7 linked regions of the Macaca mulatta genome follow. The protein of the gene in region 1 interacts with the protein of each later gene in a biochemical or structural test. Links are inferred from orthologs where the notes say so. Each region holds a gene or a part of one and is shown on either strand. Other genes may lie near its edges.

What was found.
Region 2: the proteins of SUMO2 (region 1) and SENP6 form a complex in vitro, tested with the Homo sapiens proteins (2 studies listed by BioGRID, with this or other methods). The link is inferred for Macaca mulatta from reciprocal best matches to the Homo sapiens genes SUMO2 and SENP6.
Region 3: the proteins of SUMO2 (region 1) and SETDB1 form a complex in vitro, tested with the Homo sapiens proteins (2 studies listed by BioGRID). The link is inferred for Macaca mulatta from reciprocal best matches to the Homo sapiens genes SUMO2 and SETDB1.
Region 4: the proteins of SUMO2 (region 1) and MUS81 form a complex in vitro, tested with the Homo sapiens proteins (2 studies listed by BioGRID). The link is inferred for Macaca mulatta from reciprocal best matches to the Homo sapiens genes SUMO2 and MUS81.
Region 5: the proteins of SUMO2 (region 1) and EXOSC9 form a complex in vitro, tested with the Homo sapiens proteins (2 studies listed by BioGRID). The link is inferred for Macaca mulatta from reciprocal best matches to the Homo sapiens genes SUMO2 and EXOSC9.
Region 6: the proteins of SUMO2 (region 1) and TUBB form a complex in vitro, tested with the Homo sapiens proteins (2 studies listed by BioGRID). The link is inferred for Macaca mulatta from reciprocal best matches to the Homo sapiens genes SUMO2 and TUBB.
Region 7: the proteins of SUMO2 (region 1) and CHAMP1 form a complex in vitro, tested with the Homo sapiens proteins (2 studies listed by BioGRID). The link is inferred for Macaca mulatta from reciprocal best matches to the Homo sapiens genes SUMO2 and CHAMP1.

The regions. Positions count from the first base shown.
Region 1 is NC_133421.1:84,873,130-84,877,466, forward strand, and holds the start of SUMO2 (small ubiquitin-related modifier 2), read right to left. Parts: upstream 3,084-4,337; 5' UTR 2,955-3,083; coding exon 2,934-2,954; intron 1,320-2,933; coding exon 1,188-1,319; intron 1-1,187. UniProt on the Homo sapiens protein: Ubiquitin-like protein that can be covalently attached to proteins as a monomer or as a lysine-linked polymer.
Region 2 is NC_133409.1:110,131,143-110,135,744, reverse strand, and holds the start of SENP6 (sentrin-specific protease 6), read left to right. Parts: upstream 1-1,587; 5' UTR 1,588-2,231; coding exon 2,232-2,283; intron 2,284-4,602.
Region 3 is NC_133406.1:116,158,268-116,162,119, forward strand, and holds part of SETDB1 (histone-lysine N-methyltransferase SETDB1), read right to left. Parts: intron 2,176-3,852; coding exon 2,019-2,175; intron 1,930-2,018; coding exon 1,771-1,929; intron 834-1,770; coding exon 201-833; intron 1-200. UniProt on the Homo sapiens protein: Histone methyltransferase that specifically trimethylates 'Lys-9' of histone H3. H3 'Lys-9' trimethylation represents a specific tag for epigenetic transcriptional repression by recruiting HP1 (CBX1, CBX3 and/or CBX5) proteins to methylated histones.
Region 4 is NC_133419.1:8,559,055-8,562,899, reverse strand, and holds the end of MUS81 (structure-specific endonuclease subunit MUS81), read left to right. Parts: coding exon 1-65; intron 66-269; coding exon 270-362; intron 363-459; coding exon 460-581; intron 582-660; coding exon 661-761; intron 762-1,351; coding exon 1,352-1,468; intron 1,469-1,570; coding exon 1,571-1,666; intron 1,667-1,867; coding exon 1,868-1,996; intron 1,997-2,053; exon of another isoform or gene 2,054-2,070; coding exon 2,071-2,174; intron 2,175-2,617; coding exon 2,618-2,746; intron 2,747-2,837; coding exon 2,838-2,904; 3' UTR 2,905-3,291; downstream 3,292-3,845. Other genes in the region: CFL1 (cofilin-1), read right to left, coding at 3,772-3,845. UniProt on the Homo sapiens protein: Catalytic subunit of two functionally distinct, structure-specific, heterodimeric DNA endonucleases MUS81-EME1 and MUS81-EME2 that are involved in the maintenance of genome stability.
Region 5 is NC_133410.1:130,631,140-130,634,520, reverse strand, and holds the end of EXOSC9 (exosome complex component RRP45), read right to left. Parts: intron 1,080-3,381; coding exon 1,001-1,079; intron 990-1,000; exon of another isoform or gene 689-989; coding exon 604-688; 3' UTR 549-603; downstream 1-548. UniProt on the Homo sapiens protein: Non-catalytic component of the RNA exosome complex which has 3'->5' exoribonuclease activity and participates in a multitude of cellular RNA processing and degradation events.
Region 6 is NC_133409.1:152,322,438-152,326,741, reverse strand, and holds the start of TUBB (tubulin beta chain), read left to right. Parts: upstream 1-1,398; 5' UTR 1,399-1,472; coding exon 1,473-1,529; intron 1,530-2,571; exon of another isoform or gene 2,572-2,855; intron 2,856-3,498; coding exon 3,499-3,607; intron 3,608-3,876; coding exon 3,877-3,987; intron 3,988-4,304. UniProt on the Homo sapiens protein: Tubulin is the major constituent of microtubules, a cylinder consisting of laterally associated linear protofilaments composed of alpha- and beta-tubulin heterodimers.
Region 7 is NC_133422.1:108,401,942-108,404,682, reverse strand, and holds the end of CHAMP1 (chromosome alignment-maintaining phosphoprotein 1), read right to left. Parts: coding exon 1,080-2,741; 3' UTR 788-1,079; downstream 1-787. UniProt on the Homo sapiens protein: Required for proper alignment of chromosomes at metaphase and their accurate segregation during mitosis. Involved in the maintenance of spindle microtubules attachment to the kinetochore during sister chromatid biorientation.

The sequences.
Region 1 (4,337 bases):
AGGCATAAGAATAGCTTCAACTTGGCCGGGCACGGTGGCTCAAGCCTGTAATCCCAGCACTTTGGGAGGCTGAGACGGGCGGATCACGAGGTCAGATCGAGACCATTCTGGCTAACACGGTGAAACCCCGTCTCTACTAAAAAAAAAATACAAAAAACTAGCCAGGCATGGTGGTGGGCGCCTGTAGTCCCAGCTACTCGGGAGGCTGAGGCAGGAGAAGGGCATAAACCCGGGAGATGGAGCTTGCAGTGAGCTGAGATCTGGCCACTGCAGTCCAGCCTGGGCGACAGAGCAAGACTCCGTCTCGGGGGGGAAAAAAAAAAAAAAAAGAATAGCTTCAACTCAGGAGGCAGAGGTTGCAGTGAGCAGAGATTGAACCACTGCACTCCAGCCTGGGCAATAGAACAAGATTCTGTCAAAAAAAAACCAAAAAAAAACAAAAAAAACCCCACGATTTACAAGGTAGATAAGTTCTAGCTTAAAAAAATACGGCAAGACTCCCATCTCAAAAAAAAAAATAAAAAAAAAGACTTCTTGGTCTGGCGCAGTGGCTCATGCTTGTAATCCCAGCACTTTGGAAGACCGAGGCGGGTGGATCACCTGAGGTCAGGAGTTTGAGACAAGCCTAGCCAATATGATGAAACCCCATCTCTACCAAAAATACTAAAAAAAATTGGCCAAGCGTGGTGGCAGGCACCTGTAATCCCAGCTACTCAGGAGGCTGAGGCAGGAAAACTGCTTGAACCCGGGAAGTGGAAGTTGCAGTGAGCTGAGCTCACGCCACTGTACTTCAGCTTGAGCAACAAGAATGAAACTCCGTCTCAAAAAAATAAAATAAAATAATAAAAGACTCTTAAGTAATTTTACCAAGTTCACTCTTACTTTCTTATAAACATAAAATTACATTTCCTTGGTTAAAAAAAAAACCAAAAAACAAGTATTGTAAATACAATTTGATGGATTTCTGGCACAGGACTGGAACCACATATAATACTAAGCAAATCATCCTAAGGGTTTTCATGAGCAAGCTACCAAGTGCACGATAAAACTGACATGCCAAGTACAAGTGCATATTCATCCCATCAAAAAGTCACTGTAGTATTATGCCAGGCTAGTTTTTGTTCCCATGAAAATAAGATTTTTAAAAATAGTTTTATTCAGTGGAAGTACACATATGAATTCCTCACCTGTCGTTCACAATAGGCTTTCATTAGTTTACTAAGTGGTGTATGCCTCTTAATCTTAAACTGCACCACAGAACCATCCTGCCCCGCCACCTTCAAATTAATATGATCGTTGTTCTCAGTCTTGACTCCTTCCTGTTAAAAGAAAAATAAAAGTATAATTTGGGAAATGTGATCAACACACACTTTTATAAAGCAGCAGCAGCCCTAAGTTGCTTCAAAAATCAACAGGTTTCTCATACGGTATGCTAAAACGGCATACGGCTGTTTTCAGCTGCTGAAATCAATGTGAAAGAGGAGAAATCCTGCAGCAACAGTATTAGATAGCTGTCAGATACAGAAAAGCCTACATGCAATACTATCAGTAACAACAATACATGTTTAAAGTTGGGTCCTATTCAGTGTATTGAACGTTCTCTTGAAGCTAAACTTTCTAAAATGGCATATATCACTCCCAAAATATATATTTTACCCCCAAAAAAAGTTAAAAATAAGAGTCTCTTTTCTAAGCACTTTAAGTACAACTGCAAGAAACAAAACAATAAATCTACAGCCTGCCATTCAAAACTCATTACCGTTGTCGTTAAAAAGTTACCAAACTCAGTTTAATAACCTAAATCCAATCTCCATTAAAGTAAACACACACACGAAAAATCGAAGAATATCCCGATTCCCTCCGGAACAGCGGTAATACTCAGGACCACAGTTACGTTCTCCTCTATTAGCAGCTTCATTTTTATCTTCGGTTAAGAGCACTTATTCTCCCCTCCCCTTTGTTGTCATGGGTCAAATACACAGTTTTATCCCAAGTGTTTCTTGTAGATTTCGACCCAACCTAAAGTTGTCCAAAATCGAGTGTAGAAGGCATGCTGTAGCCCTAAAACGCTTCAGAAAGTAAAGGCGCGAGAGGCGGGAGGTGTCACCAAACTAAAAGCAGCAAGTCCCGTGTGCCCCGATGATGGGTGTCCCCCAGTCCTCCCGGGAAGTCTTCGGGTGCCTCAAAAGCCGCATTCAAAAGTTAAGCCGCACAAAGTCTCTCTGCTCCTACCTGTGCCTCCAACTTCATGAAACCACATGGTCTTCGCGGATTAGGGGTTCGTTGGCACCCAGGGAAAAGCCGCTGCCCCTCCCCCCTCAGGTCCCTGAGGCCATTAAAGTGGGAAATACTCCACGGGAATCCCCCTACCCCCAGGCCCAGTACGGCGGCCAGCGGGCATCCAGGTTCCTGCTCATCAGCAGCCCATTGATTCGCCCCGAACCCTCGCCCCGCCGCCGCCGCCCCGGGCAGGAGTCCCCAGATGCCCGCGGTTTCTACCCCTGAGAGGTGAAGCCCGAGCCCAGGGGACTCCCCGCCGCCTCGGAGACTGCAACACCCGACGCGGGGTCGGCGCAGGGTGGAGACCCCGCGCGCCCTAACGCCCCTCCTCACGCGCGCCGGACGGCTGGGCCAAGAATCCCCGTTCGGGGCTGGTGGGCCCGCGGGCGTCCGCGATCTGCCCGCCCAACTCGCGCCCCGCGCGCACTCGGAGGCCGCCGGGGGCGGGAGAGAGCGGCGGGGCCTCCTCCGGCGCGGGAGGGAGGAAGAGAGGGAGGGAGGAAAATGGCGCGGAGCGCCGGGGCCTGAGCTGCGGCCGGCCCTGTGGGGGGCCCGGGAAGGCGCTGGGAGCCAGCGGCGAGCTCTGGCCGGACCCCGGCCCGCGCCCTGACCCCGACCGCGCGGCGAGGCGAAGGGGCCGGCGCCGAGCTCACCTTGGGCTTTTCGTCGGCCATGGCGAGCGCCGGAGTCTCCTCAGCTGCCGCTTCACAAAAGAGGTACCAGGTCCGCACCAAACGAGCACACAAGCAGCACCAGGAGCGGCAGAAGAAGGAGGCGGCAGCGGTGGACGAGGGAGAGGGTGCGCGCACGTCGTGCGCTCCCTCCCCCCACCCTGCGTGCGCGAGCACGAGCCGCCGGGGCCTCCCATTGGCTGGCGCCTCGCGGGAGCGCGCAACGCTTACATAACCACCCCCACCCCCCGCCCCGCGCCACCGCGTCCTGGGCCAGGCGCCCGCCCGGCCGGCGGGAAGAAGCGCGGACACGCGCACCCGGCCCGCCGCGGGGGCGCGCCTGGCTCTGGGCGGGGCTGTATTGTCCTCCTTCGTGGTGGAGCATAATCAAAATGGCTTCCAGCTGGTCCTCGGTGGGAACGATGAGGCTCGAGGCTTTAGACGTGAGCCATAGGCCAGGGAAGGCTGACTGACTAGAGGAAGAAGGGGATTCCTAAATCAAAGCCCCAGCATGAGGTTCTGGAAAAATCTCTCTCTTTCAGTGGACCAGCAGCCCTCCCATGGTTACTTCCTCTCAGTCAGTCTTAACCTGCTTCCCACCGGACTCTTGCCTCAAATGCAGTGTCTTCTTCTTTTTTTTTTTTTTTTTTTTTGAGACGGAGTCTCGCTCTGTTGCCCAGGCTGGAGTGCAGTGGCACGATCTCGGCTCACAGCAACCTCTGCCTCCCAGGTTCAAGCGATTCTCCTGCCTCAGCCTCCCGAGGAGCTGGTATTACAGGCGCACGCCACAACACCCGGCTAATTTTTTGTATTTTTCGTAGGGACAAGGTTTCCCCGTGTTAGCCAGGATGGTCTCGGTCTTCTGACCTCGTGATCCGCCCGCCTCGGCCTCCCAAAGTACTGGGATTACAGGCGTGAGCCACCATACCCGGCCTGCAGTGTCTTCTTCTGTCCTGCTGGTAACCCTAGACTTTGACTAGCTACGGGAAAATGTTCGTGTATTCATTCAACGAACTCCTTACTCATCGCCTATCTTCCAAGAGGAAACAGTATCCTTAAGCGAGAACTACCCAACAATCAAGCTTCCAGCCAATTTAATCATTTCCTCCTTGCATCCAGTTAAAACATAGACATGCATCCCTCCTGTCTGAAGAACAATCCAGTGTGTGCACTGGATTCCATCTTGCTCCTCCCCCTGGGCTTTATTATTTGCTTTTGTCCCTGAATTTTCTTCCTCTCCTCCGTTAGTATAGAAAAAAAAAAAAAAAAAGAAGAAGCTCTCAATTCTATTAAGTTACCATCCTATCTCTCTCCATTCTTGGCCAAACAGCTTGAAAAAATGTCCCTGCCAGCTGTCTCCAACCCCTCCCCTCCCACTCACTCCTC
Region 2 (4,602 bases), on another chromosome or scaffold:
TTCAAAGCCAGCATATATGCATTTTAAAAGCAAAGATTTATTTTTAATTAAAAAAACAGTTTCTCCAAATGGAATCAAGCTGCTGAAAGTTTTTTTTTTTTTTTTTTTTTTTTAGGGAGTCTAGCTCTGTTGCCCAGGCTGGAGTGCAATGGTAAGATCTCGGCTCACTGCAATCTCCGCCTCCCGGGTTCAAGCAGTTCTCCTGCCTCAGCCTCCCGAGTAGCTGGGATTACAGGCATGCGCCACAACGTCCAGCTAATTTTGTACTTTTAGTAGAGACGGGGTTTCTCCATGTTGGTCAGGCTGGTCTCTAACACCCCCGGACCTCAGGTGATTCACCCGCCTGGGCCTTCCAAAGTGCTGCGATTACAAGCGTGAGCCACCGCGCCCAGCCTGAAAGATTTTTTTAAAAACTACATGTTGAAGTCTGTACAAATGGCCAGTTACCCACATTTGCCTATTACCTACACATCTCAGTATTATACTGTCATTGGCACAGACGATGTCATAGAACATCACAACAGGATCATGCAATAACCTCAGGCAACAAACATAAATTATATTCATTGCACTACTCTTGCCAATCAGGAAAGATTATTGGTTGGCATTAGGAAAAAGATTTTAAAGGACGTTTAAAACAATAAGCCTTTCTGCATAGGCCTTCGTTAATAAGACAGCTGAATTAGAACAGTCCATTCCCCAAAGACTGCACTTAATCATACCGGTTTTCTGCATCATTTTAATTGCTGTTGACTTTTCATTGACATTTAGCATAGATTTTTCCTCATTTTTGTTTTTTAAAGAACGATACTGAAAGACAAGAAAAATGCTATCAGAGGAGTACAAACGTAAAGGAGTTGAGTTTCAGTCGTGAAACAGTATAATCGTTTTCTGTGCTTTCCATATTTCCTTGAATGAGAATGTAGTTTTTTAATATGAAAAAAATTTTAAAGGAAAAGAAGTTAAAAAAAAAAAAAAGCCTCACTTGTAAGGTAGGGTATGGTTTTTTTAAGTCTCAGGCACGTAAATGACAAGGGACTTCTTTAAAAAACAAACAAACAAACAAACAAAAAAACACTGCCATTTAAAGCTGACTGGTACGATCTTCCCTAAGTTATTTTGAAAACTTCTTGAAAAATAAATGTAGACCACGAATCATTTACCAAACATGTGATTCCAGTACCTCACTACCTTTTCTCTTCAGGTGGCTGTAGTTTAAATTCTAAGGCCTCCTCAAGAAATGACATTTTCACATTTCTTAGGCATCTGTGGTGTCAGAGGAACAAACCCATCACCGGCCTGGCGCAGAAGCGCACACGCCAGGTCTGCCACCGGGCCCCGAGCTGTGGGGATTTTGGATGTAACGTGTCTAGGCCGAACCTGCGCCGTGAAAGGCCGACCCTGCCGAAAGCCCGGGCGGCGGGCGCCCACAAGTCAGGGCTCGGTGCGGCGCGGCAGCCAGCTCTGCGGGCGAGCCGAGTCCGGGCTGCTGAGGGGGAGCAGCGCCGGGGGCGGCGGCGTCGGGGCGGGGGCGGGAGCCGGGCGGGAGCCGGGCGGCAGCTCCAGCGCCCGTGGGGGAGGAGCGGCAGCGGCGGCGGCTGGAGCTGCTGTGGCGACCGACGCGAGGCGGTGGCAGAGGAGACCCACCCCTGTCCACATGGACAGTCGCAAAGGCCTCCGCTGATGCATTCACGCCTGGGCGGGGTGGGCGGACGGCCGTAGCGGCGGCGGCTGCAGAACGAGTTGGGGGCCTGGAAGCGCCTGACGGTCGCGGAGACCTCGCCGCTCCGGCGCGGCGGTGCGGCCATTTTACGGCCTGGGACGAAGGGAGGCGTGTTTGTGTGCTCGCTTTCATCCTCCTTTCTTGGGAACCCACGGCCGGGGGAAGTTTCTCAGGCAGCCTAGGTGGGCGGTGGATGGGGAGTCGTGGGCCGAGAGGAACCGGGCCCGGGAAGCGCCGTCGTCGTCGTCGCCGCTCGCGTTCCCCCCGAGGGGCCTGAGAAGCTCGGGCCGCGGGCCTCGCTGCCCGCCAGCCCGCGGACAGGCCCGGGCGCGCCTGGCCTGCTTTTGTGTAGGCCCATCTGAACGTGGGAGCGCCGCCCGCCTGACGGCTGAGCCCGAGGCCCGCAACCCTGCGGCGTCTACCCTCCTCCGGCGCGGCCCCTCATCCCGGCGAGCACGGCGGCGGTGTGGGCCATGGATTAAGAAGGAGGCGGCGTGGGAGGAGGAAGATGGCGGCCGGCAAGAGCGGCAGCAGCGCCGGGGAGATTACTTTTCTGGAAGGTACGTCTATTTCTGCTCTTGACGGAGAGAAAAGAGGGTATACTGGAAAACGTGGCCCCCAGAACCCCGGGTATTCAGTTATCTGCGCTGGGTGGGTTTGGGGGGCGGTGAAGTACGAGGGATGAGCGATGACGGAGAGGGAGTGTGCTGCGAGCGCGCTTGGTTCGAGTCCGCCCAGGCGAGGGGCTCGGCTGCGAGCCGGTTCGGCCCAGGGGGCGCGGGTGGATTGAGCCGCGAGCCAGAGTTGGTGGGCGTCCTTTGAGAGTGCGCGCTGAAGTCTTTGACATTTAAAAAAATTTTGGGGTGGTGGCCTAAGGATGAGAGCAGCCAGCATTCACATCTTGTTTGGTGTTCATGAAAAGTTTCAAATTGCTAAGGTTGGGTGCAATTGGGGACCAATCTAAGTAGGGAGGGGACAGACAGTTTCATTGAGGTGTGTTTTATACCCTCTGGTCTGTTTCTCAGAGTTTCAGGCTTGCTTTTGCAGCCAGCCTTCCGATTAGGCCTGGCCTTGTCTGATATTCTTTCGGAATGTGTTTTTATAAAAACATTCTATAAAATTATCTGGAAAAAGAGTAAGGTTTACAGTATCAATTTTGGGGCCGTAACTAAAGCTCATTGACACAATTTGAGTGTTTTAGTTACTCGTGAGGGAAAGTTAAACGTTTGCTGTAAGTAGACTAAGCCAGTCTCAAGAAAAGCTGTACGTTTTTGTTGGGGAAGGTGGTAATGGGGAGCAATATTGATTTTTTGGCCTATGAATATATAAGGACCCCCAAAATAGAGCTAAATGTTATTGTAATTGTAGACCAAGAAGTGTCTATATTACTTAATTTGACTATGGGTTCAGTGTTTAGTGATTGAGTTTATAAATATGTTTATCAAAATGAGTCTCTGCTGCTCACAGACTCGTTTTGTTAAAAAGAATTAACTACTCTTTGGATAATTTTGCAAAGATGATTTTCATTGCAATATGTCATAAGCTTTACTTCAAAAAATAACTTTTTTTAGTATGTTTCGGAAACATTACTGAATCAAGAAAGTACGATTTAACTTGAAATTAAGAAAACCCCTAAATAGGTTCTATAGGAGGGTGTTGAGGAATGGGAATGCCTTGGTACTGCTTTGTTAACAGCACCTCGAACAGTACCTGGAACACCATAGGTACTCAATATTAGTCTAGTGAAAGACTAGTGAATAATAGAGGTAATTTTTCTTAATTCTTTTTTCTTGAGTATAGTGAAGTGAAAAAAAAATCTTACCGTACAAGCCAGGCTTTATCTGAAAGTGATGAGAACTTTACAGGAGATTTCCTAGTAAGAGTAAGAAAAGCTTCTGAGTTTTTCTGGGTTCATTTCGTATTATCTCCATTCCAGTTTGCAGAATGGGTACCTGTCAAGAGGCTGAGGGTGCAGCTTGTGTTACAGGTAGTGCTATGTGTGTTGTTTTTGTTTTGAAATCGGAGACAAAAGATGGCTTACTCGTGCTTATTATCTTCAGTATGCAGATGATTATACTTTTCTGCTATCCTAGATTTCCAGCTTCTGTAGGCCTGATTGAGTTAAAATTCTAATTGGATGAACATAGGGAGGATTTTTAAAAGTACAAATAAAGCCACAGATGTAGAGTTAATGTGAGTTTCAAACTACTGCTTTTAGTTTATTCTAATCTAAAGGTCTTTGAGTGTACAGGTGTGATACATTCGAGTTTCACCATGTCTTAAGCATTTTCATAAAGCAAGCAAATGGTAACTTCTTTAGAGCATAAGCATAAGGGTTTTGAGCGCGGTGGCGCACACCTTTAATCACACACAGCGCTTTGGGAGGCCGAGGCAGGCGGATCACTTGAGGCCAGGAATTGGTGACCAGCCTGGCCAACATGCGAAACCCCTCTCTAATGAAAATAACGAAAATTAGCCGTGCGTGGTTGGTGTGCGCCTGTAGTCCCAGCTACTGTGGAGGCTGAGGCAGGAGAATCGTTTGAAAACGGGAGGCAGAGGTTTCAGTGATCGCGCCACTGCACTCCAGCCAGGGCAACAGAGCGAGATTCTGTCTCCAAAAAAAAAAAAGCGTAAGGGAAAGGAGCAATTTTAGTTCCTCATAACACATTTTCATATACTATATTGAATCTTTCCAAATAAACGAATTGTATTTAATACTACTTATGTTTTCTGCTTAATTTCCCATGATTCTTTTGGTGTCTTACACTTTTAATAATAATAAAATATTTCAGCGAGGCGTGGTGGCTCACGCCTCTAATCCCAACACTTTGGGAGGCTGAGGTGGACGGATCACCTGAGGTCAGGAGTTTGACACCAGC
Region 3 (3,852 bases), on another chromosome or scaffold:
TTGCTCAGTGTGGCCATGTCAGACTCCAGTCTCCCTACCTCATAGCTTTCATGGAGGCCTTATAGCACGAGTTCCAGGTGAGGGAGGAGGTAAAGGAAGATGGGGAAAGCAGTACAGATACAAGGGAAAGGAAGAGGTGAAAAGGAAGACAACCATAACAAAGTTGGAAGCAGGGGCAGCAATTCTCCCCACCAACTCACTTGTCCCGACACCCATCCTTGCAGTCACAGCCAACCAGAAATTCAGGGCCTGTGTTAATGAAAACACCCTTGCCCGGGATACGTTCCTTGCTGTAGGCCACCTGGGGTGGAGGGGTTGTGTCAATCTCATTGACACAGGATAGGGGAACATCTTCCTTCCCATAGGTGATGTCCAAAATATAGTAAAAAGGCTTATAGGGCTGAAACTTTCGGTCCACAAGAACATATGGATCCAAACAGAACATCTCCAGGAAGAGGAAGTCACAGCCAGTCTCGAAAAGGTAGCGTTCGATCTCCTGCATTGTCCGAAGGCAAAGACCACAAGGTGTCTTATAGATAACATGAAAGCCCATCTTGCGGTTAACTCGACGCCGGGCTGTCATCCGCCGGAAGTCATACAGTAATGGAACCAGCAGAGGGTTCTTGCCCCGGTACTGCTCATTCCTCATAGGTCTGACTCGAGACAGACAGGTATAGCTGCAGACATGAGGTAAGTAGAAAAGCTTCTCCATGGGAGCACGGTAGGAGGGCTCTGCTGGGGCCCGCTCCAGCATGCCATGGAAGGCTGGGGGTGCTGGAGGGGCTGGGGGTGCTGAGGGTGCTGGGGCAGAGGCTGTGGAGCCTAAAGGTGATCTGCAAATGAGATACAAGTGATCAGATCAGAAGGCAACAGGACCTCTGTTGTATAATTAACCCTCCAGGTAGCTAAGCCATTTCTTTCATCTTTCAAGCAGCTGTGCTCCTGAAGCTAAAGATGATTCAAGAAAGATCTTCCCTTGCCCTATCAAAGCTGGACGACAAAAATCCCTGGTTACTCTTCACTGACTGATAACATCTCTATTTCTTTTTTTTTTTGAGATGGAGGTTTGCTCTTTTTGCCCAGGCTGGAGTACAATGGCATGATTTCGGCTCACCGCAACCTCCGCCTCCCGGGTTCAAGCAATTCTCCTGCTTCAGCCTCCCAAGTAGCTGGGATATAGGCATGCGCCACCACGCCCGGCTAGTTTTGTACTTTTTAGTAGAGACAGGGTTTCTCCATGTTGGCCAGGCTGGTCTCAAACTCCTGACCTCAGGTGATCCGCCCGCCTCGGCCTCCCAAAGTGCTGGGATTACAGGCATGAGCTACTACTGTGCCTGGCCTAACATCTCTATTTCAACAGTGTACCTTTTCCTAAAATGTATTTGCCTGTGAATTACGGAAGTCGAGTCCAGTCTTCTACCAATATATTTTTTGTCTGCTGTGTGTTCCAGAAATGTCCTTACTAACTCCCAGGATTCAAGGAAAGAGGCTGTGGTGTTTCCTTTCTATTTTAGCAAAGATGGAACTATGTTCAACAAGAAGTTTTAACAAATGGCTTTCTGATGATACCACATTTCCAAGCACCCAGCTTCCGATTCAATTATTCTTACTTTCTATTTCTGAGAAACTTCTATGGGTAAAGCTTCCTTTTCAAGTCCAAACTCCTCACCATCATAAACTTAAACTAAGCCCTTCAGAGCCAAGGAACCTTCCCCTACACAGTGACCACTCATTGCTATCCTGCCTACAGAGAGCCTCAGATTTTCTCACCTATACGTCTGGTTGATCCCAGGTTTCCCACCAGAGACATTTTCACTGAGTGCAGGAGACGTAGGGGAGGAATGACCAGAGCCCACAGATCCTGGTCGGAAGGATGTGCTCTTTTTGGCTACCTGCTTCCGTGACTGGGCAAGCTGGCTTTCCAAGCTTCTAGGAGATCAGAGACGAGGGCGTATAGTAAGGGATGTGGAAAATATAATATGAAAGAAACTGAAGAAAAAAGAAAGAATAACACTTACTCACTGTCACCTGCTTGGGGAGATAGAGGTGAAGCAGGTGGGAAAGGTGGGGCAGGTGGAGCTGTAGGCTGTGGGGGTTCCACTGGCTTGAACTGGGTTCCAGTACCAGTCAGATCCTGTGTGTACTGGACAACAGGGCCTTTGCTCCTCACAGCACCTATAGGAAAAAGGAATTGATCACTGAGAAGATGATAGCTATGATGCTTGTATTCAGTCACACATCTGATCCTTAACTTATACAACATAAAAAGGCAGCAATGGCTGGGCGCGGTGGCTCATGCCTATAATCCCAGCAGTTTGGGAGGTCGAGGCAGGAGGGTTGCTTGAGGTCATGAGTTTGATACCAGCCTGGCCAACATGGTGAAACCCTGTCTCTACTAAAAATACAAAACTTAGATGGGCATAGTGGTGCACATCTGTAATTCCAGCTGCTCAGGAGGTGCATGACAATCACTTGAAACCAGGAGGTGGAAGTTGCAGTGAGGCGAGATCACGTCACTGCACTCCAGCCTGGGCAACAAAACAAGAATTTATCTCAAAAACAAAACAAAACAAAAAAAAAACAAAAAAGCAATGGACACATTCTGAGTAAGTGCTTAGACTCTCAGTTCCTATTATTGACTGGCATGGATGCTGGCATATGTTGTTTTGACTTAGATAATACTTTTTTTATTAAAGTGAAAGCAAGTTTTTTAAGAAAGTAAAGGAATAAAAGAATAGCGGTCGGGCGCAGTGGCTCACGCCTTTATTCCCAGCACTTTGGGAGGCTGAGGCGGGCGGATCACCTGAGGTCAGGAGTTCAAGACCAGCCTGGCCAACATGGAGAAATCCTGTCTCTACTAAAAATACAAAACTTAGCCGGGCATGGTGGCAGGTGCTTGTAACCCTAGTTACTTGGGAGGCTAAGGCAGGAGAATTGCTGGAACCCGGGAGGTGGAGGTTGCAGTGAGCTAAGATGGTGCCAGTGCACTCCAGCCTGGGTGAAAGAACCAGATTCCATCTCAAAAAAAAAAAAAAAAAAAAAAATTGCTACTCCATCGGCAGAGGAGCCTCTTTTTTTTTTCTTTTTATAGACAATGTTCCACTTTGTTACTCAGGCTGGAGTGCAGTGGTCTGACCTTAGCTCATTGTAACCTCGAAATCCTGGGCTTCAAGTAATCCTCCTGCCTCAGCCTCCAGAGTAGCTAACACTACAGGTGCACAACACCACACTCAAGCTTTTTTCTTTTTCTTTTTTTCTTAGAGATAAGAGTCTTTCTATGTTGCCCAGACTGATCTCCAACTCCTGGCCTCAAGTGATCCTCTCACCTCAGCCTCCCAAAGTGCTGAGACTACAGACATGAGCCACCATGCTGGGCCTTAGATAAGACTTTATATCTTCCTATCTCAGATGATTTACCTGATTAATTATGACATACTTTGGGGGAATATTTTCAGAAATATATTCTTTAACCAATTAATTTTGGCAGGAAAAATCAACCAGAAAGTATGACAGTAATATTAAAAAAGAAAACCAAATCTGCTTTTTGTTTCTGAGACAGGGTCTCATGCTGTCACCTAGGCTGGAGTGCGGTGGCACGATCTACCTAGGCTGGAGTGCGGTGGCACGATCTAGCTCACTGCAACCTTGACCTCCTGGCTTCAATTGATCCTCCCACCTCAACTTCTTGAGTAGCTTGGACTACAGCTTAATGCCACTGTACCCAGCTAATTTTTGTGTTTTTTGAAGAAACAGGGTTTCACCATGTTGCCCAGGCTGGTCTTGAATTCCTGAGCTCAAGCTAACCGCCTACCTGTCTCAGCCTCCTAAAGTGTTGGGATTATAGCTGTGAGC
Region 4 (3,845 bases), on another chromosome or scaffold:
GGCATCGGGCCTAAGGAGCCCCCTGGGGAGGAGGCAGCAGTGCCAGGAGCAGCTTCAGCAGAGCTGTGAGAAGGAGGGCGGAGGAGGGGGGAAAACAGGGAGGTGGGGATGGGAAATGAGGCCAAAACCCCACCTCTATCCATCACCTGTAGCTGAGCTGTGGCTGCCTCCCTACTGTAGGTGGGTGGTGGGTGTCGGGTGGCATGGGTGTGGGGCAACTGCCCTAGCACAAGGGGTTCTGGCCTCACATACCGATACCCCCCACTTAGTGCCAGTGAAGCAGGGGTCCAGCAGCCACCACTGGAGCTGAGGCCTGGAGAGTACAGGGTGCTGTTGTGTGTGGACATTGGCGAGACCCGGGGGTGAGTGAGGTGGGGAGAAATGAGGTAGATGATCGGAGGAGGCTGGGGGGTAGGCACTGCCCTGCCCTGATCTAGGATTCCTTCCTTGCCACTCCAGGGGCGGGCACAGGCCGGAGCTGCTCCGAGAGCTACAGCGGCTGCACGTGACCCACACAGTGCGCAAGCTGCACGTTGGGGATTTTGTATGGGTGGCGCAGGAAACCAATCCTAGAGACCCAGGTGAAGGGCCGTGGGCAGGCTGGCGCCAGGGGCAGGGCCTGGTGGGTGGGGGATCACAAGCTAACGGCTGGCTTGTCAGCAGCGAGCCCTGGGGAGTTGGTACTGGACCACATTGTAGAGCGCAAGCGGCTGGATGACCTTTGCAGCAGCATCATTGACGGCCGCTTCCGGGAGCAGAAGGTAATTTTGCTGGCTTTGCCAGGCTTCCCTGACTGCTCTGAGGCCCCCCTTTTCAGCCCAGAGCAATCCAGGGGCACTTCTGGCAGCCTCCTTGAGGCAGAGCCCTTTGGAATCCAGCCACATCCACCATGTGGTTGCTCCAGAATCAGACCCCCACAGGCCTGTCCAGGCACACAGTAGGAAGCTAGGTACCTGCATTTTTGGGCTGAGCTCAGGAGCATATTAAAGACCTCTTGGGTACCGAGCCCCTGCAGTCTTGGATAAACAAGGCTTAAACCTCCAGAATTGGAAATACAGAGGCCGTACCTTGGTACTTGCTGCTGGGTGGACCCCCTAGTCACAGAGGCCATGTACCGGCCCAGGGGAGGCTTGAAGGATGTTGAGAGATGGAGGAAGGGCTTTCTAGACAAGAGTGTCAGCATGAACAAAGCTGTGGAGGCCCTTCTGAGGCAGGTGGAGAGGCTAGGGAGGATGCAGAGGCTAACTGGTGGGAACAGGGTCGTAGCACCATTTTGAGTGTGACATCATGGACGCCCAGGCATGTGGTCATCCAGCCTGACCCTCCCTGCCCACTCTGTCCACTTCCCCAGTTCCGCCTGAAGCGCTGTGGCCTGGAGCGCCGGGTATACCTGGTGGAAGAGCATGGCTCGGTCCACAATCTCAGCCTTCCTGAGAGTACGCTGCTGCAGGCTGTCACTAACACTCAGGTGAGCAGGGAGGGCAGGGCCAGGCAGGCAGGGGCCGCTGTGGTCCATGGTTCATGGTCTGGGCCAGGAACCACCTTCCCTCTCTTGGGTCCTCTTCCCCAGGTCATTGATGGCTTTTTTGTGAAGCGCACAGCAGACATTAAGGAGTCAGCTGCCTATCTGGCCCTCTTGACGCGGGGCTTACAGAGACTCTACCAGGTGAGCAGAGGCCCCTGTCCCAGTGTCGGGACACAGCCCACAAGGAATTCACCTTGCCTGGGCCCTGTGCATCCCCAAAAGAAGCAAGGTAGGTGAGATCCCCATTTCTCAGGCTGGCCCCCCGAGGCTGAGGACTGGGCAGGGGCTGGCTGGAGTTGTCCCTTTGAGCTCCAGCCTGGCCTCAGTCCCTTCTTCCCTCAGGGCCACACCCTACGCAGCCGCCCCTGGGGAACCCCTGGGAACCCTGAATCAGGGGCCATGCCCTCTCCAAACCCTCTCTGCTCACTCCTCACCTTCAGTGACTTCAACGCAGGAGCCATCAAAAATAAGGTACCGTCTCTGCCCAGCTTCTCGGACGTGGCCTGGCCCAGACCCCCACTGATCCAGCCCTTCCCCAAACCCAGGCCCAGTCAGTGCGAGAAGTGTTTGCCCGGCAGCTAATGCAGGTGCGCGGAGTGAGTGGGGAGAAAGCAGCAGCCCTGGTGGATCGATACAGCACCCCTGCCAGGTAGGCCCTAGAGGGCCCTTAGGTGTCCTCAGCCCCTGCTCTCCGTGCATGGAATTCACCTTAATCCATGCTTTGTGGAGGGAGCTTGGCCTTGTGTGGGCTGTGCAGACCAGAGATGGACAGATCCCAGGGTGCTCATGGAGGTCAAGCGGGGAGGAAGCCAGCAGACCCACACAGTGTCCCAGGCATTGGAGGCCACAGGAGGGAGGGAAATGTCCCACGTGGTGGCGAAGAGGCTTCTTGGAGAAGGGGGCTGGGCCATTAAGGGGAGTGAGGGTGATGGTTTGGAGCCTTTGCTGGTTTTGCCCCAGGGTTCCCACAGGGAGGGAGGACAGCCAGGCTGGCCTGGGGCCTTGAGTGCCAGGCTCAGGAAGTGGGGCAGTGTCCCAACTCTTCTATCCCATGCTGACCCCTCTGCCTGGCCCCTCATGGTGCTGGCCCAGAGTGGGCCACCGTCAGCCTCAGAAACTCAAGCCCCTGTCCCCCAGCCTCCTGGCCGCCTATGATGCCTGTGCCACCCCCAAGGAACAAGAGACACTGCTAAGCACCATCAAGTGTGGGCGTCTACAGAGGTGAGGGCAAGAGACGGAACCTGGAGGGAGTGGTGGGGACTGGGGCTGCCCTAGGCCCAGGGCGTGACCCTCGCTGCTTCTCTTCCTGCAGGAATCTGGGGCCTGCTCTGAGCAGGACCTTATCCCAGCTCTACTGCAGCTACAGCCCCCTGACCTGAGCTTATGCTGTGAAACAGCCCCCAGCCCCCATCTGTACCCCCACGCAGGCTAGCCAGCCTTTTAACAACATCTTTTGTGGTAAAATTAGAATCTAAGTGTTTGCAGCCATATGTGTTATGTAGAAGATGCCTGGCCCTGGGGACCTTGTGAAATACGCAGGAACCAGGGATACCGTCTGGACCAGTGGTTTTTAAACAAAGCTGCTTAGGACCTGGGATTGCCTGGTCAGGGAGATGGAGTCAGTGGGGCACTGCAGCTTTGAATCGATTTTATGTCATCAGTTGGTCCTCATCAAATAAAACTTCCTTAGGAGTGCAGAGGGCTCATTGGGAAAATAAAAATAATAAAAATAAATAAAACTTCCTAAAAGAAAAGCTTGAAAACCACTAACAGTCCAGTTGCCTCTTTTTATAGAAAAACAGGCCCAGGGAACTACTAGGGCTTATCCAAATGTACAGTTTGAGGCAGAGTTAGGACTGGAACCCAGGGCCTCCTGGCGCTCTCCGGAGTAGAGTTTCTTAGGACCCCTGCAAGCCAGCCAAGTCCACATCTCTGGGCCAGGGCCTGGAGTCCGCCCTCCTCGTTACCTCCTCTCCTCTCGGGGTGGCTGAAGCTCGTGGTACAGAGCTCCCAGCTCCTGTCAATGGGGCCCCCTGGGCCTGAGCATATAGAGACCCCCATTTAGGTGAACTTGGCCTGCCCCTCCAAGTCCCACCCTGCCCCAGCCTGAGGCTTGCTGCAGTGTGACCCGCCCACCTCAGCCACCAGGACTCCTTCTTTCTCCCTTTATTGCCTTTCTCGTTCTACCCTTCGTAACAGGCTCCTCAGCTAGGGTAGCTGCAGGGAGGGTGGCTCCCTCCTGCTCCTCAGAAGGTGTAGGCCCCCACAAAGACGGTGAGCCTCAGTACAGAGCTGGCCCGGTAGCTCATGAGGGAATTCA
Region 5 (3,381 bases), on another chromosome or scaffold:
GTATCTATTACTTTTTAAATGGTTTTAATTTGTATATCTTTTGTATATGTATCTGTCTTAGATATTTGGCTAATTTTAAGTGGTTTTGTTAAAGTATTAATGATGCCAGCTGTCAGGATAATAAATTGATTTGGAAAACTTCGCAAGTCAAATTTAACTTCTTCAGGATTTCAATTAAAAAAGTTTACTTGGTTTACTATATAATGAGAAGTGAAAACCTTCCTCTAAAATTAAAGTAGGTTTAGGAAAACAGACCCTCAAATTCTAACATTCATTTTCCTAAGCAACTGGATCAATTTGCTGATGGGCATAATCTAAGCATATCTGAATACAGACTTTTTCACTCTTTGTAAAACCTGTTTAGGTTCTGCAAACTAAACAGAGGCTGGGAGCGGAAGAGGGTGGGAAGCTTACGTGCAAATTAACAGACGAGAAATGCTCCAGAAGGTTTATTATTTTAAAGCATAACATTAAAAACAAAAAACTATTTTTAAAACCCTGCTAGATTTTATAATGGATTTGTGAATAAAAAATACCCAGGGTTCTTAGAATGGAATAAATATCCTTTTAATAGTTATATATACAAATATACAACTGTTAGCTTTAATTGGCAGCTCTCTTCTTTTTTCTTCTTTTCACTGGCTTTTTACTTGGTGCTTTTTCTTGTTTTGCACTGGTGGTCTGTGTTCTGTTAATAAAGTAAGAATTTACTAAGCGTATGCTTGTTAAGTTTTGGATTATTGAAATAAGAGGCATTTCTTAGTTTTCCAATAGGATATAAAATGTGTAAGACTGGCATCCAAAGAGTTCTATAGATTTTGGTCCTAATTTTTATAAATCACAAGGTAAAGAAATCACAGAACAGATGGATCGCTAATGAAAAAGGGACGTCTTTTTGTTTATAGTCGTGTGGCAAGATGAGAGTAAAACCAGAGAGCAAACCTCTAGAAGTGTTGAATATATATATATATACATTTGAAATAAACCAGAAACGTGTTACCTTATTTTCTTTGGATTCTTGTCTGGTTCCAAAATGATCATTTCTTCTTCTTCACTATCTGACAGTATTATGGGAGCATCTTTTTTTTTTTTAAAAAAAAAAAAAAAAAAAGGGTAAGCAATCTCTTGCAATATTTACTTCTGCACAAGTTTATTTCTATCAGACGTTCTAAAACTCTTACTGCTGGGGCTGGGGTTGGGCTGGGCGTGGTAGCTCACACTTTTAATCCCCGCATTTTAGTAGGCTGAGGTCATTTTGGTCACCTGAGGTCAGGAGCTCGAGTCCAGCCTGGCCAACATGGTGAAACACCATCTCTATTAAAAACAGAAAAATTAGCCAGTTGTGGTGGCATGTGCTTATAGGCCCAGCTACTCGTGAGGCTGAGGCATGAGAATCGCTTGAACCAGGGAGGTTGAGGTTGCAGTACCACTGTACTCCAGTCTGGGTGACAGAGGAAGACTCCATCCTAAAAAATAAATAAAAATAAGACTATTTGCATATAACAGCCCATGCCACTCTTTAGGTGGAGGCTTACTCTTCTCTTTAAATCAGCTTCTTAGAGCACTCTAGAACTTGTCTGTAACATTTGTTTCTTTAAACTCTTATTTCCTGCAAGTGCTCGAATGGCGTGACAATTTGGTACATGTCATAATAGAAAAGTTAGGGGGAAATCTATATATCATCTTTTGTAGAGACAATTGAATTGTTTGTGCTACTCTATTCCTCCAGAAATAGTTCCAGTTTACATTCCAATAAATAAAAACCCATTTCCCATATACCTTTGGCATTGCTGGTATTTTTAATACTGCCCAAAATACAGTAACAAAAAATGCCATGTCATTTTTCTTTGGATTTTATTTGTATTACTATCAGGGCTGACCATGAAAAATATTACTGGCCATTTGTATATTTTGAGTACTGCTCCCTGTCTTTTGCCTATTTTTCTCCTGATCATTAGTTAATGATATACATAAAACGTGAATTAACCCATATCAATTCTTTGTATTTTTAGTTTTCAGTTAGTTTCTCCCTTTCTTCACATGCTTTAGAAAGGCTGTACCTGCTCCATTTTTCCAATTCTTAGGTCCACCTTCATTATATTCAATTGAAAATACTATTCACTGTTAGAAGAATACACTAAACAAACATATAAGGTATATGCAAGTGCAAGGATATTGTTAACAGTGAAAAAATGGAAACAACTTACATCTTCAACAATAAGAGAATTGTTAAACCAACTAGTTATATTCAATGCTACATAAGTCTATGCAGCATTAGCTTATATCACTGCACAGAGAGTAAATAAATACCTGGGACAAGTATTTGGAAGAATTATACCAAATAGAAGTAACCACTGGGAAATATGAGTAAGGGTCCCAATCAATGGGAAATTTTTTCCTTCCCTATTAAGTAAAAAAACAAAAAGCTCAGGCTCTAGTAGTGTTCATAATTTCTCTCTTTGAAAACAGAAGTATTTGTTTTACATTCCTACTAAACATATCACCTTCAGTTTTCCCTGCCAGCCTAGTTCCCAGTTCCTTGTAGGATTTCTGTTCTTACCACATAAGAAAATAAGTCATTATTCTATTATCTAGACCAGCAAGAATTTGCTTTTTTTTTTTTTTTAAGTAAAAATAACCATACACAAAAACAACTTCTTCAGTTCTATGGCTTTCAAAATGCAAGCAACGTCTAGGACTATCAGTATTCTAGTCATTTCTAGAATTTTTTTATGTTCTAATACTGCAATGTCTAGTATGGTAGCCACTAGCTACATGTGGCTGCTTAATTTTGTATTAAATAAAATTAAAAATTCAGTTCTCAGTAATACAAACCACATTTCAAGTGTTCAGTAGCCACGTGGGGCTAGTGGCTGCTATACCAGTGTAATGTTTCTATCCCAGAAAGTTTTATTTAGACAGTATTACATGTTCCGATAAAGGATGGGCTTTTTGTTTCAGTCTAGAAACCACAAAAAAAGACAGCACGGAGGAATAAGATCTTCCAGAAACTCATTCCCTTAAAACCCACCCAAATACATTACAAAAAAAAATTTTTTTTAATTAAAAATGTCACTATCATTTTATGCCAAAGTGTACCACTACTCTACAAAGATATGCATATTCTTTTAGCAAGTCGTGTTAGTACTGCAGTTAGCCACAATAATTTAGTTGAAATTTAAATCACAATATTTAGCCCCTCTAAAAATGCAATACTTATATCCCTATATTTATATATCTATATTCTCTCTATATAGTATCCTGTATGTTATTTATCTAGTATACATCTCTATATAGCTGATATGCTATATATTACTATATATAGTGATAATATAAATATACACATTTTATGCATTATTGTATATACAAAATACTACATAT
Region 6 (4,304 bases), on another chromosome or scaffold:
TCACGAGGTCAGGGGATTGAGGCCATCCTGGCTAACATGGCGAAACCCTGTCTGTACCAAAAATACAATATATATATATATATAGATAGATATAGATATATATATATAGATATATAGATCTGTGTGTAATCGAATGTGAATGAACAATGATGTTGACTTGATACTACATTTCTGAGTGGCCAGACTGCAACATCCTGGAGGACAGGGAACTAATTATTAATCATTTTGTAACCATAGTTCCTAATTTGGTGGATACATAGTAACTATCAAATAAGTGAATAAATCTCTGGGAAGAAGCTGGTGGACTCTGTCTTGAGCCCATCCAATTTTCCCCCATCAATTTCCCCTCTCTCCTTTTTCAATACTGGGTATCTTGCAGAGTTGCAATGGCGGCCACCTGGTCAGTGAAATAAGCGAATTGAAAAACCACTGACTTCATTAACATGTCTAAAAAGGTAGGCTGAAAAAACTGAAAATCTATCAGGCATCTCATTCCATAGTTCCCTGTTTGACAAGAAGATCAAGGTGTCTTCAAAGTCTGCCCTAAGGCCCAGATCTCCTACGTGGATGGAGACTTCTAGTTTCACAAATCCCCGATGTCGGTTTCTCTAAACTATTTTATTCTTTGAACATACTCTCCAGACAACATCTCTATCCTGAAAAGCCCTTGCTGCAATTTTGTTTCTCTTTCAAAACAATGACTCGAAAATTTCCAAGGAAATAGCAAGAGGGCGATTCCCTTCTTGAAGTATTTGAGAGAGCAGAAGCTTACTTAAGTTCATGACTTGGGTCACCAAAGGCCAGAGGTAGCAGAGCACGGTGCCACACTCCTCCCCATTTTTCGCTGAGCTAAGCAATTCTGTCTTCCCTAGAGGTACTGCAGCTGGGAGCTTTTAGGGCGTACCTCACCACCCAACTTCTGGAACCCCAGACTTCTCAATCCCTGCATCCCCGAGAACTGCTCACTTTTTGTACAAAAACCTCAGGCACAGAGGAAAGGAATCTTGCGCAAGGTCGTTTTTCATTTACAAAACAAAAACCCAACAAAAACCAAACCGGTACCCACCCATTCGTCACTTCATTTTGCACCGTGAACAACAATAGGGGACTACAACTCCCAAAGAGGACTGCGCTCGTCCACTGGCTCAGAGGCCAATGGACGCCTGGTACATGACCGGCATCGACTAATCAGGGCCAGGCTCGATGAGGCTTTGTCTCCCGACCGCGCGCGGGGCCGATTCTCCCGCCTCCCAGCCCCGGCGCACGCGCGCCCCGCCCAGCCTGCCTTCCCTCCGCGCCCTCCCCTCTCCTTTCTCCCTCTCAGAACCTTCCTGCCGCCGCGTTCGCACCTCGCTGCTCCAGCGTCTGGGGCGCGTTCCAACCTTCCAGCCTGCGACCTGCAGAGAAAAAAAATTACTTATTTTCTTGCCCCATACATACCTTGAGGCGAGCAAAAAAAATTAATTTTAACCATGAGGGAAATCGTGCACATCCAGGCCGGTCAGTGTGGCAACCAGATCGGTGCCAAGGTAAGAATTTTACACCTCTTTTATTTCTTTTTAGAAGGAAAAATCCAGGTAAGTTATGAAAAAATGGTTGTGGGGCATTTGCACTCTCCATTCTTAATCAAGCTTTGCCCCTCCCAAGTTTGTTACATTTATATATATAATAACTAGCATTTGCTTTTGGAAAACTGGGAATCATTTTTCTTGGCAGGCACATTTTGGAGAAACTAGTAAAAGGGCTCTTCGGGTTTCGGGGGCGGGAAGACCAAGGACATATGTTACTTAAAAGGGCTTCTAACGGTCCAAGAACCGGGCAGGGAGAGAGATGCGGAAACAGTCGGAGACAAAGCGGGGCGAGGTTTTGCCCATGTGCATCCCGCCCAGCCCCCCCTGCGGGGTTCTTAGGGCCAAACGGGAGCGGGAAGGGGTGAGGCTGTCGGGCGGCTGCAGAGAGCTCCAGTGCAAAGGTCGGGGGGCGATGCGCCAGGGTGGGCTGCGCTGGGCGCTACCATTCACAAAAGATCAGGGACCCCAGCGCGCCCGCGACCCCGGAGGGCCGGTCCTGTAGTTGTTCCGGGGTGGAAGGAGAATAAGAACGGGATTAATTTTTCTTGCTTTCATGGCACCTAAGCGAGACCTCTTTAGGGCGTGAACTGATATGTCGAGAAAATGGGGGTGTGTGGTTTTCTTTAACGAGTCCTTCAGGACTTAATGGGAGAGAAAGAATGCTTTAAATCAAGGGGGAGAAATCTAGCAAAGGAATAAAATTCCGAGGCCAAGGGTTTTTTTTTTTTTTTTTTTTGCGCGCGGTTACAGTGTAGCGGGGGAGGGGCGGGAGGAAGTGCGGGTGCTACGTTGTAGCAGAAGGGCGGGGCCCTGCGGGGCGGGGCCAGGGCGCCGCTGGCGCGCGGGGACAATGCGGCGTTGCCCGCCGGGAGGGGCGCGCTACCCTGGGCCCCGCCCCTCGCGCGGAATTCTTGCCCCTGGCCCCGCCCACGTGCGAAGTCCTTTGTCGGCGGCTCGACCTGCGCGTGCGCCGCAGTCACGTGGAGGGTGGGGGGTGGTCGACTGCGGCAGCAGCTCTTCTAGTGCCCCGAGCCTTTTGTGCGCCGCGCGGTGGGGCGGTGCCCAGCTCGGGGGAAGAACAGCGGCGCTTATCCAAGTATGGTCGACCTCCATCCGCCCACCGAGCACTTGGGACCCGCTGCACATAATCCCGAGCCGGGAAAGCTGTGGCTTTCCCGGGGGAGCGAGTGTCTAGGGGAAGGGTGTGGCAGGCACACGGGATGCCAGGCCCTAGAACAACGGCCTGAGCGCGTGTGGGATTAAAATGGGAGATGTGGGGCTGAGGCGGGCTAATTGGGATCGCTCCCGCTCAGGGGTTTGAGACCATCCTGGGCAACAAAGCGAGACCCCTCCCCCCGGCCACATCTCTTCAAAAAAAAAAAAAAAAAAATTAACTGGGTGTGGTGGCGCGCGTCTGTGGTCCCAGCTATTCGAGAGGCTGAGATGGGAGGATCGGTTGAGCCTGGGAGTTTCAGGCTGTAGTGATCCGTGATTGCACCACTGCACTGCAGGCTGGGCAACAGAGGAAGACCCTGTCTTAAAAATTAAAAGAAGCTGGGCGCGGTGGCTCACGCCTGTAATCCCAGCACTTTAGGAGGCCGAGGTGGGCGGATCAAGAGATCTAGACCATCCTGGTCAACATGGTGAAACCCGTCTCTACTAAAAATACAAAAAATTAGCTGGGCGTGGTGGCGCGCGCCTGTAGTCCCAGCTACTCCGGAGGCTGAGGCAGGAGAATCGCTTGAACCCGGGAAGCAGAGGTTGCAGTGAGCCGAGATAGCGCCATTGCACTCCAGCCTGGCGACAGAGCGAGACTCCGTCTCAAAAAAAAAAAAGAAAAAAGTTAAGAAAAAGATGAAATAAAATGGTAGTTGGGGACGTAGTTGACTGGGACTTGACTTGTGGTCTCGTTGCTCCTGCCCGGCAGTTCTGGGAGGTGATCAGTGATGAACATGGCATCGACCCCACCGGCACCTACCACGGGGACAGCGACCTGCAGCTGGACCGCATCTCCGTGTACTACAATGAAGCCACAGGTAAGGGCAAGAGCCCGGGCAGCTCAGGTTCCCCTTCCCTGTCTCCCACTTCTCTGGGGTCTCTTTCCATTCCTGGCACGCCTTATCCCCTTTCGGTGAATCTATCATTTTCTCCCTTTTGTGAACCACCGTCGGGGCCAAAGACGTCTGCTGCCACCTGGTGGCAGGACCTGGAACAAGTCTTGGGTCCCTGCTGTCTTCCATTCCCAGTGTATCTATAAACCTTTCCCTCTGCCAGATCTCACAGCTCTTAACTTTATTCTTTGTAGGTGGCAAATATGTTCCTCGTGCCATCCTGGTGGATCTAGAACCTGGGACCATGGACTCTGTTCGCTCAGGTCCTTTTGGCCAGATCTTTAGACCAGACAACTTTGTATTTGGTAAGTTATACAGATGATATTAGCAGATGATATACTATCGTGTTCAACTTATTTGGGTGCAAGGACACAGCAAAAGTTAGGAGATGATTGTTGTACTGGAGTGCTAAGAACTGTATTCTGAAATCTAATGGAGGGTAGAGGTAGGGTAGAGGTAGTGCCTGCTGTTGCTGGTACATTATGGGGCAGTGGGGGGAGAATACATCACAGTGAAGGAGAAAGAAGATACATCCAAGGGAATTATTTCTAAAGTTGAAAGATGGAAACATCATGTATCTTCCATACCCTGTTAATTGAGCTTTTCTCCTGACTGCATTCCA
Region 7 (2,741 bases), on another chromosome or scaffold:
TCATACATGCAAATTACACAAAAGAAAACACACATGAAAATGTTGCTGACACGAAAGCCTTTCTTTTTTAATTTGGTTGATACACATTTGACAAAATACTTTAGAATAAAATAATCCATGAACAGGTACAAGGTATTTACAGTAACAGAACTGAAAAACATAAAATCGATATATTTCTTTAACAGAAATGTCTATAAAATTTTCTACTGTGAACCTGGAAGACTTTCAGTTCCTACTTATTAACCTGGTCTTAAGCCCCAACAGGCGACATGTAAGGCCCAGGAGTAGGACATACAAACTCTAACACATTTGGCAATTAAGAATCATCTATTAGTGTGAGCTGGCGGGTGGGGGCTGGGATGGGGAGGGAAGAACCAGATCTTAGGGTAAGATATAGAATGGAAGACTCCACTGAAAACAACTATGGACAAAAAAGATCTAAAATCACACTTATCGTTCCACTTGTCTCCTGTGGGAGAAGGCTGCAAACTATTTTAAAGACTTACTCAATTTTTCCCATTAGCAGACAATCAGCAACCCTGAGACTCCAACATTTCATGACATAAAAGCTAATAAACATCTAGAAGCTGATTAAGATTTATAAACTAATTTTACATCAGATAGAAAATAACTCTTATGATTTAAAAATACATGTGAGGAAACAAAATTTCTCAAATTTATTTTTCATGCCTAATTCTTAAACATTTCAACTAATATTTTCTATTATCTGAAATTAGTTCCACACACAGATATACTTTAACTGAATGCTTTGAGTACAACTTGCTCTTGATTATTAAATGGAATGCCTACTTCCTTGTTTTATTATTCATACATATTTAAAAGAAATGAGAAGTTTAATCCATCTGGACTATATAGAAATTGATTGACTTACAAGATAGCCACATAGACAGAGACCAGAAAAAAATAATCAAATGCTCATTCTTAGTAACACAACTGAGACAGTGAAACACGGTACACCACATGTCATCTACATATCCAACTAGGCTATTTGATAAGCTATACTTACAAAGAATGGTTTCAACGAACACCTTTGTAGAACAAATATTCATACTGAGCTATCAAATTTGCTGCTCCTCCAGTGGCGGTTCAAGAGCTTCCATTAGCTTTTTATTTGCCTCTTCATTATGCCGGCTTTGACAATGAGTTAAATGTTTCTTAAAACCTCGTGGGAAATTTGATTCAAAATTACAACGTGGACATTTAAGTAAACTCTGCCCATGGGCTGCTACATGATTTTTAAGGAGAGATTCCAAAAGAAAAGCCTTTCCACAAATTGTGCATTTGTAAGGGCTATGAACATTATGCTTATTAACCAAATGATGCAAAACAGCACCTTTTTTCATAGCACGACAGCAACAAATTTTGCAATAATACTTTCCTTTTCCACGCTTCATATATTTTGCAATCTCCTCTTCAGAGATAAAAGCTTCTTTTTCTTCAGTAAACTGTAGCACATTTCTAGACTGCTCTGGACTAGTCATGTCCATTTTGTTCTCTTTGCTAAAATCAATGGATTCCACATCAACCTGCTCTTGATCACTGCTTGATTCCTGGCCCTTAACATCCACCACATCCAAATCTGTTTTTATGTACTCACTACTACTAAGCTCAGCATCTGAGCTCTCTTGGTTGTCTTTCTTGAGCTTCTTTGAGGAAGGAAATAAAGTATCTTCCAAAAGTTTCTTAGGTGAAGCTAGAAGTTCTTCCTGAACCAAAAGATCACATTTTTGATCATCTATGGCATCTATTTGTAGTTCATCACCAAGCTCAACAGCCTTCTGTGATTCTGAGAATAGAGCAGATTTGGGGAGTTCAGGGAAAAGGGCATGCTTCCGGGGCTCTGGAAAAAGGGCACGTTTGCGTGGTTCTGGAGAAGCTGGAGGGGCTGTTTTGGCAGGCTCGGGAAACAGGGCAGGTTTTCTAGGCTCAGTATCAATAGAGAGAACTGGCTTCCAGATATCTGAGGCTGCTTTGGGGGACTCAGATGGCCCAGAAGAACCTGGTTTTCGGGTCTCAGGGAAGACAGGTTTCTGAGGCTCAATAAAAAAGGAAGACTTCCAGAGATCAGGAGAACCGCCACGGGAACTTTTCTGGGACTCAGGGAAATCAAGTGAAGCAGGAGAAGTTTTCCGCTGATCAGGAGAAAGCTTCCAAAGGTCTGGTGACCCTGAGGGTTTTCTGAGCTCTGGAGATCCTGCTGGACTACGGATCTCTGGGGATAGTGGTGGGCCGGGTTTGCGAAGCTCTGGAGACACTGGGGGAACTGCCTTCCAATGTTCAGGAGACAACGTGGGAGCTGTCTTTCGGAGTTCTGGTGGGCCAGACTTCCATGACTCAGGAGATGCAGGGGGGGACTTCCAGGAGCTGGGTGAGACTGATGAAGATTTCCAGGATGCAGAAGACACAGATGGAGTTGGTTTCCAAGGTCCAGGAGATATAGAAGGAATTGGTTTCCAAGGTCCAGGAGACACAGATGGAGCAGGTTTAGCTGGCTTCCAAGGTCCTGATGACGCTGAAGGACTGGATTTCCAAGGCCTAGGGGACCCAGGTGGCCCTGGCTTCCAAGAGCCTGGTGACACAGCAGGGGCTGGTCTCCTAGGCTCTGGGGAGACAGCAGGGAATGGCTTCCAAGGTTCAGGAGACCCTGAAGGGGATGGCTTCCTTGGCTCAGGGGAGGTAGTCCGGGCTGATTTCCGAGATTCTGGAGATGCAGCTGGGGA